Cricetulus griseus: one gene and its partners. The protein of the gene in region 2 binds, or shares a complex with, the protein of the main gene of each other region. Links are inferred from orthologs where the notes say so. Each region holds a gene or a part of one and is shown on either strand. Other genes may lie near its edges. The genes, in order: Ttc25, Ccdc151 and Efcab1.

Region 1 (3,805 bases), on a different chromosome or scaffold from region 2:
AGGTATAGGCATGCATGTGGCAAAGTCAAATCCTTTCAAATTTTCTAACAGTCCCCTAGACTAACACAACTGAAACCATGGTGGAAGTGCCATTCGGGTCATGAAACCAGACAGCTAGGCAGCACCACCTGCCAAAACAAAAACAAAGACCTAATACATCAAAGTCTATAATTATGGAAAAGTCCCTAAATGTACATTGCTTTTTGGCGTCTGTAGTTATGCTTCTGGCTGAGGGGTGTGTGTGTGTGTGTGTGTGTGTGTGTGTGTGTGTGTGGTTTTTTGTTTTTTTCTTGTGCTAAGAAAGGCTGAGCTGGCCCACTAATGTGGTTTCTGTATACCCCAGCCCCACCCCCTGCCTTGTACTCTCCACATAGTACATTCTGTGGAATGTGAGCCAATGGCTGAGAAGCAGACAGAAACACCTCTGCTCTCAAGGCTTTGCTTCCTCTCCTTCGAGCAGATCTGGGCTCTCTGGGGCTCACCTGCCTCTCCACCTCTAATCTCTTCCACTGGTTCCCTACTGAGAATAGGGAGGGTGGGGAGAGGAGGCACAATGACTCACTCAGGATTTGCAAAAGTTAAGACACATATTTAATGAGAAAACAGGGCAGGTGGATGACTTGTAGGCGGCAACCTCCCAGTTTGTTTGTTTTTTTTTCCCCCCTACCAAAAGCATCTCACCTGGAAACACTGTCCTGAACCTAGTGCCTATTAGGCAAGTCTTCCTTCCTCTCCCGTTTGTTAAGAATTTGAGTCTTTGACTTCGTCCTCTTCCTCTGTCTTCTCCAACCTTCCAACCTCCCCTCCTTCTGCCATTTTCTTCTCTGGTTTTATATCCATTAGGCTTACACTGTCTGAGGCTGTGTGGTCGGTGGAGTCTTCTGATATTCTCCTGAAAATTTCCTTTGACTCTCTGCTGGTTACTTCGTTACTGTCCCCTAACAGTTTTTTGGTAAGTCCTGAAGAAGTGTCTTGTTCTTCTGTCCTCGACTGCGTGTGCTTCTGCCCCTCGTCATCAGTGGTGTCTCTCTCGCTCTCTGTCGGTTCCCTTTCCCACTGTTTCATTGCATTGTCCGATTCTTCCCGCCCTCGTTTCGTTTCCTTCTCTGATGAGGTTCCAGGCAACTCCATCAATGCAGTGACCTCCTCTGAAAAACAGAACAGGGTGGGGGTGGGATGAAGATCTACTGTGACTAGACCTCTCAAGTTCTGGGCCTCGGAGAGCAAAGCCCTGAGAGGGGCCCCGCTGGCTGTCACAAGCTCTTTCAAATGGCGTGACAGCACAGGCTTCCAAAAGGATAGAACTGGTCATTACTCAGGGCCTGAGGTCAGCCCTGCTCTGGCTTCCAGGGAGATGCTGCACATACCATACCACTTGGTTATCAGGGAACTGCACAGGAACCCAAGACTGACACAGAGGATATTATACCACAATCTCTCCCCGCCAAGCAAGAGCAAAGCCAGGATTTGAACCCAAGACAGTCTGGCCCAAAAGCACAGGTGCTTTTCCCTACAAGAAATGGCACTGGTGCTTGTTTCTTGGTCCATGTCACATGAGCAGCCACTGCCACAGGCTCCTGCAACCACCATGCCTTCCCCACGATGATGCAAAAGGCATCCTGCCTTCCTTACAAAAAATGGCCTAGGTGTTGGGAAACGACACACGGTTCTTTTCTCCAGTGTCCCCACCCTGCCACCGTTGTATTTGCCCCTGGAAAGCAGTCAGCACTGAGTTCTCTTGTAAACATGTGAGCAGGCTGTAAGCAGCAGGAGGGGCTGCTGGAGAGGTGCTTATGTGACCAAAGGGGCTCTTGCTCCTTGTCTCTGATAATTACAGGAAAGTCACTTTCACCTCCTGGATGGCCTTCATGCTCTTCCTGGAAGTCAGCAATAGAAACTGAACAGGTTCACCACCACCCCAGAGTAAAAAGGATGAACAACACTGCCCTCTACTGTCCAGAGAAGGAAGTGCCCCCACGAGAAGGTAGAAAGGATCTTTGCCAAGCATGTGTCCAGCCCAGAGGAGTGGGGGCCTGCTTGGAGCATCTGAAGTTTTCCTGCCATCTTTTTTTCACATCTGTCGCTCCAGCGGCTTTTTAACTGCTCCATGTGATGTACAACCACTGACTTGGCCTCTCTTTGAGGGAATCAGCTTCTTCACAGCAGGTACTGGATAAGAAAGGGCTGTTGGCCAGACAGTGGCGCACGCCTTTAATCCCAGTACTCAGGAGGCAGAGGCAGGCGGATCTCTGTGAGCTCGAGGCCAGCCTGGTCTACAGAGTGAGTTCCAGGACAACCTCCAAAGCAATACAGAGAAGCCCTATCTCAAACAAAACAAAACAAAACAAAACCAAAACAAAACAAAAAACAAGAAGGAAAGAAAGAAAAAGAAAAAAGGAAAGGGCTGTTGCGCTGGGGAGATGGTTCAGTGGACAAGCCTGAGTCCTGATCCCTGGAAGTGAAGGCATGCACCTGTAAACCCAGGGTTTGGGAGGTAGAGAGGCTAGAGGATCAGGAGCTGATGACCATGCTCAGGGTAAATCTGAGGCCAGCCCAGGATACACGAGACACCACCTTAAAAAAAAAAAAAAAAAAAAAAAAAAAAAAAAAAAGCTGGGCAGTTATGGAGGCCAGCCTGTAATCCCAGCTCTCAGGAGGTTAAATCAGGTGACCCCTGGAGTGCAAATGTGAACAGCCAGACAGGCCTGAATCAGAGGTCAGCCTCTGTTTTCCACATACATGCGTACGCATGTGTACCAACGATACGACACATTGCCCACATATGCATGCAAAAAGGGGGCTGTCATCTGGCTGCCCTGCTGTGGTAGCAGCCAGGAGGACTAGAGAGGACTTTGCCTTGAATCTTGGAGGGCTTTAGTAGGAACCCACACTGGGCTCTGCTCCTGGACCCCACCCACTGCATCATGACTGAAGTCAGGGTGCCACAGAGGGAGGTAGACAAAGGCTGTCTGTCACCAAAACCAGTATGGAATCACATTTGAGGCCCCAGATCTAATGCTAGATGGCCAAACTGAAAGCCACTCTGGATTTCCAAGTCCCCTGCCTCAGTGCCCTCCTTAGTAAAACTGAGTACTTTGACAGTGTCCCCAGAAGTGGGGGGTGGCAATAGTGCCTACCACCCCTCTAGAATGTCTGGCACTAGGGCAATAAATGGAGCCCGGCTGCTGCTCTTCTCAAACCTGCTCTTCTGGGCTTGCCCATAATTTGACTCTCTGTCCCCTCAGACCTTCTCCGTGGGCAAGCAGAGCCTGAAGGGTCAAAGTCCCCTTTGCTTCCTGGAGGTCTAGAGTGAAGCTGCTGAGCAATGCAGAGGTCCCAGATGAGCGACCCCAGACAGCCCAGCTGGGAGAGTGGCCAGGCAGCACACTCCCTAGCATGTGACCTGGCAGTTACCACCCTCACTCGGCTTCCCACTCAGTACCAGTACAAGGACAGAATGAGACGGACAGACAGGTACATCACCCTGTACCTGACTAGCAGGAGCAAGCGGCCCCTGGTGTGGTCCTCTCATCCTGTCAGTGTCTGCTCTTATTGTGTCCTACTGGAAATGGTCCCCCTTCCTCCTCCACCTCTCACCAGGAAAACTGATGGGCTTTTTTGAGGCAGACTACTTCCTCCGTGAGGCTGTCCCTGACTCCCTAGAGTTGCCCCCAGCCTGTGTGTTCACACAGCACATGTCCACTCTGCTGAGCCCTCGAGTGTGGAACCCAGTGCTGGCCACTCTGTGGCCTTCCCTCTGGGTTCCTGTAGGCCAGAGTCCTGTCTTCTGAGAATCTAACACCTA
Region 2 (3,646 bases):
AGTTTCTGAATCTAAGGGTACACCAGGGACGTGGGGTCTGAGGATTCCCCAGTTCCCTCTTACCAGGGCGAGCTCTTTGCCCGCCGTCCTCTCCATGGCCCCGATGCCCGTCCTGCTCCCTGGCGCCGCTGAGAGAAGCGGAAGGGCCAGCGGGAGTGGGCAGTGGGGCGGGGCGGGGCGGCTGTGCGTCCAGTCGCCGGGCGGGGAGGGGCTGGGCAAGGCGGTGGCACGACTGTCGAGGTCCCCAGCCGACCCCGGCACCCAGAAGTCCGGGACCTTCCCAGAGGTGTATCAATCTGTCACCCAGCCCTTAAGTCTTCCCTGACCCCAGATATGGGTGTAGCGGGGACAGCGACAGGTCTGTGTCCCCGGGTGGGAAGTTCTTTGTGTTCATTTGAGGTTATCAGCCCCAGGTTTAGGGGTGCCCCCTATGTTTGGAGGGGAAGGAAGGCACACTGGATTTCTATCACAGGTGATGGCAGCCATATCGTCTCAGGCTGGAAGCTGTGAAATGTGTGTGACCCTGTATTTTGTGGGGTCAGCCGTTTGGGAGCAGTGCAGGGTCAAGAAGAGGTGAGTACCCTGGAGGCTGGTCAGTGACCTTTATTGCGTGATTCTGAGGCGGGCTTAACCCGCCTCGAGAGATTTACTGTGGGAACTTCTGGCTCCGACGTTCCCCTCCTCCGGGTGCTGCTGACCTGCGGTGCTCCCTACTGGAGCCTCCTTCAGCCCTCGAAGGAGCCTCCAGGGCTCCGCCCACACCGGTAGGTGGGCCCAGCGGGTCGCAGGGTTCCCTAGAGGCCCGGAGGCATCCGATGGGACGCAACTGCGAGTCTAGGACCTGCGCGACCTACTGCGCTTCTTGCTGCGGGCTTCAATTAACTTCTGGGAACGGAGCTTGAAGGCAGCACGGGTCACCACATCGCGATCATCCTCCTCACTTTCCTCTTCATCTGCAGAGAGGCATGATGGGCGGAGAGGGTAAGAGATCGCTTCTTTCGCCCTTCCCAGACTTTACCACACCAAACACCTCCTCCTTGGCCTTGACCTAAGGCCACCTCGTGCCCCTCCCATCCATCCTCCTTTGGCATGTACTGACCAAAGAACTTGTCCTTGACAGGGGCAAGGGGCAGAAGGATGCGGGTGTTGAAGAGAGGCAGTTTTCCTTCTAATGAGCTCAGGAACTACAGGAGGCAGGAGAGAGGTGTGAGACTGCAGTGAAGCTCTGTTCCTCCTTCTCCCACCTTACTTCAAGATACTGCCTGAATTCCAGGTGAGATCACTGTCCACTCTGCTGCGTACCCTTTCCTAGCAGACCTACACTGTCACTCAAGCCTACTGCCTGGTCTCTGAGGCCCTCCCCAGAGGCCTCTCTAGAGCATCCGAGGTTCTCCAGTCCTGCCATCCGGGGTCCACCCAACCCCTGCTTCTCTTTTTTGGCTATGAAACTCACATCTCAATCCCCACTATTGCTCCTATCGCCGTCTGCTCTCTGGTTTTCCACCCTCCCCCAGCCTTGATTGTGCCGGCAGAGATTTCAGTACACCACCTCTCGCTCTGTGATGTGTCGCATCATCTCTGATATGTCGTGGCTCTCTAGTTGCCCTTGTAGTCTCAGCAGCTTTTCCTGGACAACCTCCAGCAGATCGGACAAGTAGTTCTCTGAGTCGGGGTCTAACTTCTTTCCTGACAGAACGCTATCATCCTGCAGTGGGGACCGGCTAAGTTACCTGAGAGATGCAGGGCCCCTGGGAGGGGACAGGCTTCACCCACGAGTGGGGCTTTTCCCAGGGCTGGGGAGTTCTGAGATAGAGTACACCCTCTAAAATTAAAGCCCCGCCTTGAAGGCAGAGCCTTTGGACTTGCTATACAAAGTATGGGGAGGTCTATTTGAGATTAATAACACAAGCTAGACCATTGTGAGGGTGGCTTTCTAAAGAAATGGCGCTCTTGCAGACAGGGTGGGACTTCCCTCGCCGGGGACTGCTTAAGTTTTGGGTTAGGGAGGATGGCTGGTTTTGAGCATGGAGTCAGTTTGAGGCTGAGCGAAAGAGAACTTCCCCAGGAATGTGGAACCTGGACAGTGATGCATGGCGTGGAACTTTCTTCCTTAAACAGAGCCTTGGGTTATGAGCAGGAGACAGGGTTAGGATCCTATGGCTTGTATGGAACCTTTACTCCATCTGCTCTGATGCTCTGGGAGGACGAGGGCAGGGCTTGCCAGGGATGGGGTAGAGCTTTCTGCGGGGCCTCCCAGGGACAGTGGCCATTAGGGCTGGAGCTTCTTGGGTGTGGCCTACCGGGAAGGCGGGTAGACCTTTACCAGGGCGGGGCCTACCACTATCACGTGGCTCAGTTTGTTGGCCAGATGCTCCAGGCCGTCCTTGGCCACCTGGAGGGTTCGCAAGGCGCGTTCCAGTTGCTGGTGGATGTCGTTGCGCCGCCGCTCCTCAGTCTTGAATGTCTCCTGCATCGTGTCGCGGAGCTTCCGCTGGCTGCCGGAAGCCAGGCGGTTCAGCAGCTACAGGCGGCTGATTCCAGAGCCCCCCAGGCCTCCCTCAGCCACTTGAGGCTCACCTAACTAGTGTGGCATCCCCTGAGTACTTGAGGTTCTCCAGCTCCCTCTGGAGCCGCTCTTTCTCCTCCTTCATCTTCACCAGCATCTGCTCGTTGTCCCTCTTGAGAGTCTCCAACTGCGTGAAGGTCTCATCCTGGGCCAGGAACCTTCGAAACACAGCCTGCGGGCCACCCATCCCTGGTCAGAGCATGGGCCAAGGGAGGCTGGAGGGCGGTCTGACTCTGTCTGTGTCACACAGCTATGTGTGAGGATTGTGTGGGTCAGTCTCCCGGCTGTTTCAAGGCTGTACTTTTCCCCACGCCTTTCCCTGCCTATATATGAGTTAGCTAAAATCAGCATGCGGAGGTAGAGCGGTGCTTTCAAAAGTCACTGTGCCCGCAAGTTCTGATTGGGTATCTGGCCAAATAGCACAAAGATGCTGGGCCTCTCTGGTGCAATCAGCCTTCCAGCCTTTTGTGTATGTGTGTGCCAAGGCACACATGTGGAAAGTGCTCTCAGGGCCCAGGGATGGAATTCAAGTTGTCAGGCTTGCGCATAATCATTTTTACCCACTAAGCCATCTCACCACTTCTGAAGGAGGGCCTCAGACTAGTAAATGCATGTACAGCTGACCTCACAGGTCAGAGCCCAGATTGCCTAGGGATAACCTCTTTGGAGGAGTAGCTGGGTGCAGAGAAACCAAACTGGAGAAACTAATTGGACAGGGTGTGTGTGTTCTAAGGCAGGATCAAGCACTGGAGGGAGATACACAGGGTCTTGGAAGACAGCATGGCTCCTAACAAGAGTGAGGGCATAACGAAGGGCTGGGATTCCATGGTTAGGGACAATATTGGGCAGTCTACTGTATCCTAGATCATTCCACACAGTGATGATCTTAGAAACAGAACCTGACAAATAAAACTCCCAGAACAGGCATACCAAAGAAGTCAGCACAGTGAGAGAATGGAAGGAAGTGAGGACTGATGTGGACAGCTCTACCAGAGCCGGAGCTGGGCAGGAGAAGACACCTTTAAGGGAAGAGGAGCCTGCCCCACTCCAGTGCAGGCCCAAGGCACTCACATGTGATTC
Region 3 (4,383 bases), about 60 Mb from region 2:
TTGAAAAAAGAGACTTCTTTGATGCAGAGCGAGAACTACACTTATCTGTGGCTGTAAGAATAATTATTTAGAATACAGTTAGAAATTACGATGGTTTAGAAAAGTGGCAATTATAGGTTATCCTGCAGGTTAGCTGGCTAGGTTTACAGTACCTTACATGAGTTCTTTCCTATTTAGTGGACCATAATTTCAAATAAAAAGCTGTTGGTTGTTCCCAAGATAAAAGTGCCCTTGTCCAGTCCTTGTCCTCGCTCATAGGGTTTACTCTGGGTAGGACAACTCATTGCTCCTCTCCCATCGCAGCCTACACAGCACTTTAAGAGATTATAAGAACTAGTCCTCAGGGACTAGCTGGTCAGTGGCAGCTCAGTTTCTCCAAATTCTGTGCCCAAGTGTGTGGTATCTTCAGCAATAGAGTCTCACTTTTAAGTTCTGGAAGGCAATTAATGGCAAAAGCTACATCCCAAATTGTCTTGGAAATCTCTTGTATTCCCTTAATCAATACCTTGAGGGAAGGTTTGCCTGGAACTGAATTTTGTGTTAGATTGTGCCTGGCTCTTTGGGATAGGGGAAACACCCTCATTTCATGTGCCATAACTCCATATATATGTGTGCATATATGTGTATACATATATTACAATAATATTTTATTTTTATATATTTTTCTTTTGTATTTAAATTAGAAACAAGCTTGTTTAACATGTCAATCCCAATTCCCTCTCCCTCCCCTCCTCCCCTGCCCCTCACCAACCCCCTATCCCAACCCCTTTCTGCTTCCCAGGGAGGATGAGGCCTTCCATGGGGGAATCTTCAAAGTCTGTCATCATTTGGAGCAGGGCCTAGGCCCTCCCCCATGTGTCTAGGATGAGAGAGTATCCCTTTATGTGGAATGGACTCCCAAAGCCCATTCATACACTAGGGATAAATACTGATCCACTGCCAGAGGTCCCATAGATTGCCCAGGCCTCCCAACTAACACCCACACTCAGGGGGTCTGGACTAGTCCTATGCTGGTTTCCCAGATATCAGTCTGGGGTCCATGAGCTCCCGCTTGTTCAGGTTAGCTAATGAATATTTAAGTAATTTATAAAATAATGTTCTCCTTTGACTTTTTCAAACGTTCTTAGTAGAATTTATCTTTTCTCCCTGTATTACTTTCCTGTCCCCTTGAATTCTCAACATATTACATTAAGTTAAGACACATCCCAGATTGGCCGTTCATTGTTACAGGGTCCCTACATGGGTTCAGAAGTTCTCATCTGTAGCAGGTGGATTAACTAGTTGCATGCCTAAGACCCTTTATTCTCTGGTTCAACACAACACATCCATTTCAGTCACTGTGTCATCATCTGCCACTTAAAGACATTTTAAATGATCACAATGTCTATGAGCTGCAGCTGTTTGACAGTTTACTTTTCACTAATAATCATTAACATTTCTAGGACTTATGTAAAAATTTTTACTTAAGAACAAAAATCAAGAGTTTTTTAAAGACATGTTTTTACTGATAATTTAAACTCTCTATATAGAGTTTAGATTTTAGCTCAGTGGTAGATTGCTTGCATAGCATTTCAGTCCTGAGTAATGCAAATAAAACACAAAAGGAAAACCACTTATTTTTGAATTGTTCTCAGTGTTTGGTAGTGAAGCAATGTGAACTTATTAAACAGACTCAATCAATTGAGCACTACATGTGCCAGTTATTAATCTGTTGTATATTCATCAGAAATGTTTGTACTCATTTTAGAAATATCAGGTATTCTCCAAGAGATAAAAGCATTTCAGGAAAACAGCAAAAGAACACAATCACTATCAAATTAATAAACAGCTTAAATGGTTGGATGCCTTTTTCTGAGAATTTTAAGATGCTCACAGTGTGACAGTATGTCACAAATTTCAGTTCTGGGTCTACACCCATAACATCATTTCTTACACATATCAGATACCAATGATGTAAAAGAAAGTAGGCCCCAGAGCTCCATTAAAAGTTCACTTCTACATCTTCATACAACTGAGATGATTTGAATATTTGAACCTTTTCTATTTTCCTCGTGACCAAAAGCTTTTCAATCATCACACAACTTGTGAGTCCCCACACCAGACAACAGTGCCCTCATCCCAATCAAATCCACACACAGCTTCTTAGCCCAAGGGCCAACTCTGTTTTTCAGTCTGAGTACAATGCTCTGGTGTCTGCTCACCTGGAGGATCTCCCTCACCTTTAGACCCCATTAGCAATTGGTATTTGAGCATCTGAAACTGAACACAGATTCCTTACCATCTTAATTTGCTGAGCAATGCAGTTTTCAAATAGACTACCTCATCCTAAAACATTGCTGTGGAACTGCAAGTGTCTTTCTTAAAGGTGCCCAGCAGTGGATGACTGTTTTCCCTTATGGAGCTCTTAGTAAACTTCCAGAACTTAGACCTTACAGGTTCTTCTCCTCTAGAAAGAGCTAGGAAGTAGGTGAAGGTGCTATACATCGGCTCTGCTACCTTCTTGATTCTAATGTTTTTCTAGACCTTGTCAACCTGTTTAAAGCTAAAGTCACATGCCTCCCAGGACATCGCATCATGTTTCTATAACATAAAAGCAAATAAAGAGGGTCTTTGAATTTAGCGACGGTATGAGAGGAAGCTCAGGCAGCACACACTGGATGCACGTGATCTGGTCGTGTTCTAAAGATCCTGGCACTACATGAGGAGCTGACACCCCAAAAAAGGGATTTTCATGCAGGTGTCTCTTGTGGCTTACTGTGAAGAAGCCCTTGTGGTGGAAGCAGGACGGAAGCACAAGTTAGGTAACAGACCTGGTCCAGAAGTCATGGGTCCTCCAGAATTCGGTTCTTACTTACAGTGTTTGCAACTTTTAGTTAAGGTGTCTGTCAGCTTCTGCAGCTTCTTTCGGTTCATGATGGTATTCATCTAGGTAAGTCTCAGTGTCATCTGGAGCCCAGAGCCAGGTCCTTCACGAGCTCCAGGCTGAGGCAGCCTGGTTTCAGACTCCTTGGCTCTGAGCATTTGCGGCCCCTAACAGACAGCGTGGCCATGGCAACGCTTTAGCAGTCCACCAATTGGCTCCCAGGGGCAGGCAGGCAAGACATAAATGAGGCCCTTGCACACAGAGGAGCCATGGCAACAGCTGGTCCTGCTGACGATTGGCTCTGCGCTGGAGGCTGACTAGTCTGGCACAGAAAGGCCTGTGGCTGAAACTGCCAGCTATGGCTGCCCAGCCCCTACTGTCCAAGTTATAGAATTCCAACCAGGCACTTTTCAGGTTGTGTTGATTGACAGGTTGGAGTTTTTGATACTCACTTTTCATTGTCTTTTGGGTTCACAGCCCCTCAAGACTGCAACATAAACAATCAGAAGTCTAAGAGAAAGTGTTCAGGTTATATAGGAGATGTTTTGGGTGATGGGCACAAGAGGGACTTAGGGTCTTTAGGGAGATCTGTGGAAGTGCTGGAGGGAAATACGTGTGCCATTCAGACAATTGTCACAGCGGCTGTTTGCTCTTGAGTGTGAGGAGCTTTTTCTTCAGGACTAATGGACCACTGGAAGTGAGTCTAAACAATTAGGCTTGAACTGTGTTGCTGAGAAAGTAGAACCTTTCTCTCTCCCCTCTTCCCCCTTCCCCTCCCTCCTCCCTCCCCCAAACCTTCCATCAAATTTTAAGGTTGTTAAGTAAAGTTACATCCTCTTATATGGAGAAAGGTTCCCATTTAAGTGTTGATATCCAAGCTTGCTTTTAAAAAATATATCCCATTGAAATTGTTGCATTGCTTATTTGAAAGACAAGTCTGAATGTTTAAAAAAAAATCACTATATATCTATAGCACTGCAGTACTTTCTACTTTTCTCAATAACAGATGTGATGTTCTCTTTGAATTTAGACCCAAATGAATGGTCTAGCTCAGCATGAACCTTCAGAGAGCAACGGCTGGGAAATCACAGTAGTTTATTGAAAACATAATGTCCTTTTCCAACTGAAAATAGAAAAATACTGCCAAGAATAAAAAACAACCCAAAATGAAATAGTTCCAGTGTTGAAGGGGCTGGTTTTCTTTTACATATTTTTTTGTAGAAATAATTACAGTGCTGTTTGAAAGCAGAACCAAGAACCCTTGGTAACCCCAGGTACTGTGCCTCACTAAAGAAAATTGTTAGAAAAATGTTAACCAATATGAAATGACCACCAATATCCTCACATCCAGAAGCTGACAAACTCTGAGATAGTAGAAACAAATGAGAAGGACTGGATATAGTTTGTCCTTTCCTCCCATAAAATCACAGAATTTTTCCCCCTACATTTTGGAGTTGACGTTGTGAAAGCCAGGGAGTAGGTGTGGCTGTCAGTAGTTAATGACATAATCCGTGGGCATG

Evidence for each region.
Region 1: Ccdc151 (region 2) and Ttc25 share a complex: the UniProt entries of both Homo sapiens proteins name them as parts of the outer dynein arm-docking complex. The link is inferred for Cricetulus griseus from reciprocal best matches to the Homo sapiens genes ODAD3 and ODAD4.
Region 3: Ccdc151 (region 2) and Efcab1 share a complex: the UniProt entries of both Homo sapiens proteins name them as parts of the outer dynein arm-docking complex. The link is inferred for Cricetulus griseus from reciprocal best matches to the Homo sapiens genes ODAD3 and CLXN.

The regions. Positions count from the first base shown.
Region 1 is NC_048600.1:113,620,661-113,624,465, reverse strand, and holds the end of Ttc25 (tetratricopeptide repeat protein 25), read right to left. Parts: intron 1,149-3,805; coding exon 742-1,148; 3' UTR 579-741; downstream 1-578. UniProt on the Homo sapiens protein: Component of the outer dynein arm-docking complex (ODA-DC) that mediates outer dynein arms (ODA) binding onto the doublet microtubule. Plays an essential role for the assembly of ODA-DC and for the docking of ODA in ciliary axoneme.
Region 2 is NC_048597.1:134,883,423-134,887,068, forward strand, and holds the end of Ccdc151 (coiled-coil domain-containing protein 151), read right to left. Parts: coding exon 3,638-3,646; intron 2,739-3,637; coding exon 2,578-2,738; intron 2,496-2,577; coding exon 2,339-2,495; intron 1,706-2,338; coding exon 1,550-1,705; intron 1,185-1,549; coding exon 1,100-1,184; intron 954-1,099; coding exon 835-953; 3' UTR 588-834; downstream 1-587. UniProt on the Homo sapiens protein: Component of the outer dynein arm-docking complex (ODA-DC) that mediates outer dynein arms (ODA) binding onto the doublet microtubule. Involved in mediating assembly of both ODAs and their axonemal docking complex onto ciliary microtubules.
Region 3 is NC_048597.1:74,574,095-74,578,477, forward strand, and holds the start of Efcab1 (EF-hand calcium-binding domain-containing protein 1), read right to left. Parts: upstream 2,914-4,383; coding exon 2,856-2,913; intron 1-2,855. UniProt on the Homo sapiens protein: Component of the outer dynein arm-docking complex (ODA-DC) that mediates outer dynein arms (ODA) binding onto the doublet microtubule. Seems to regulate the assembly of both ODAs and their axonemal docking complex onto ciliary microtubules.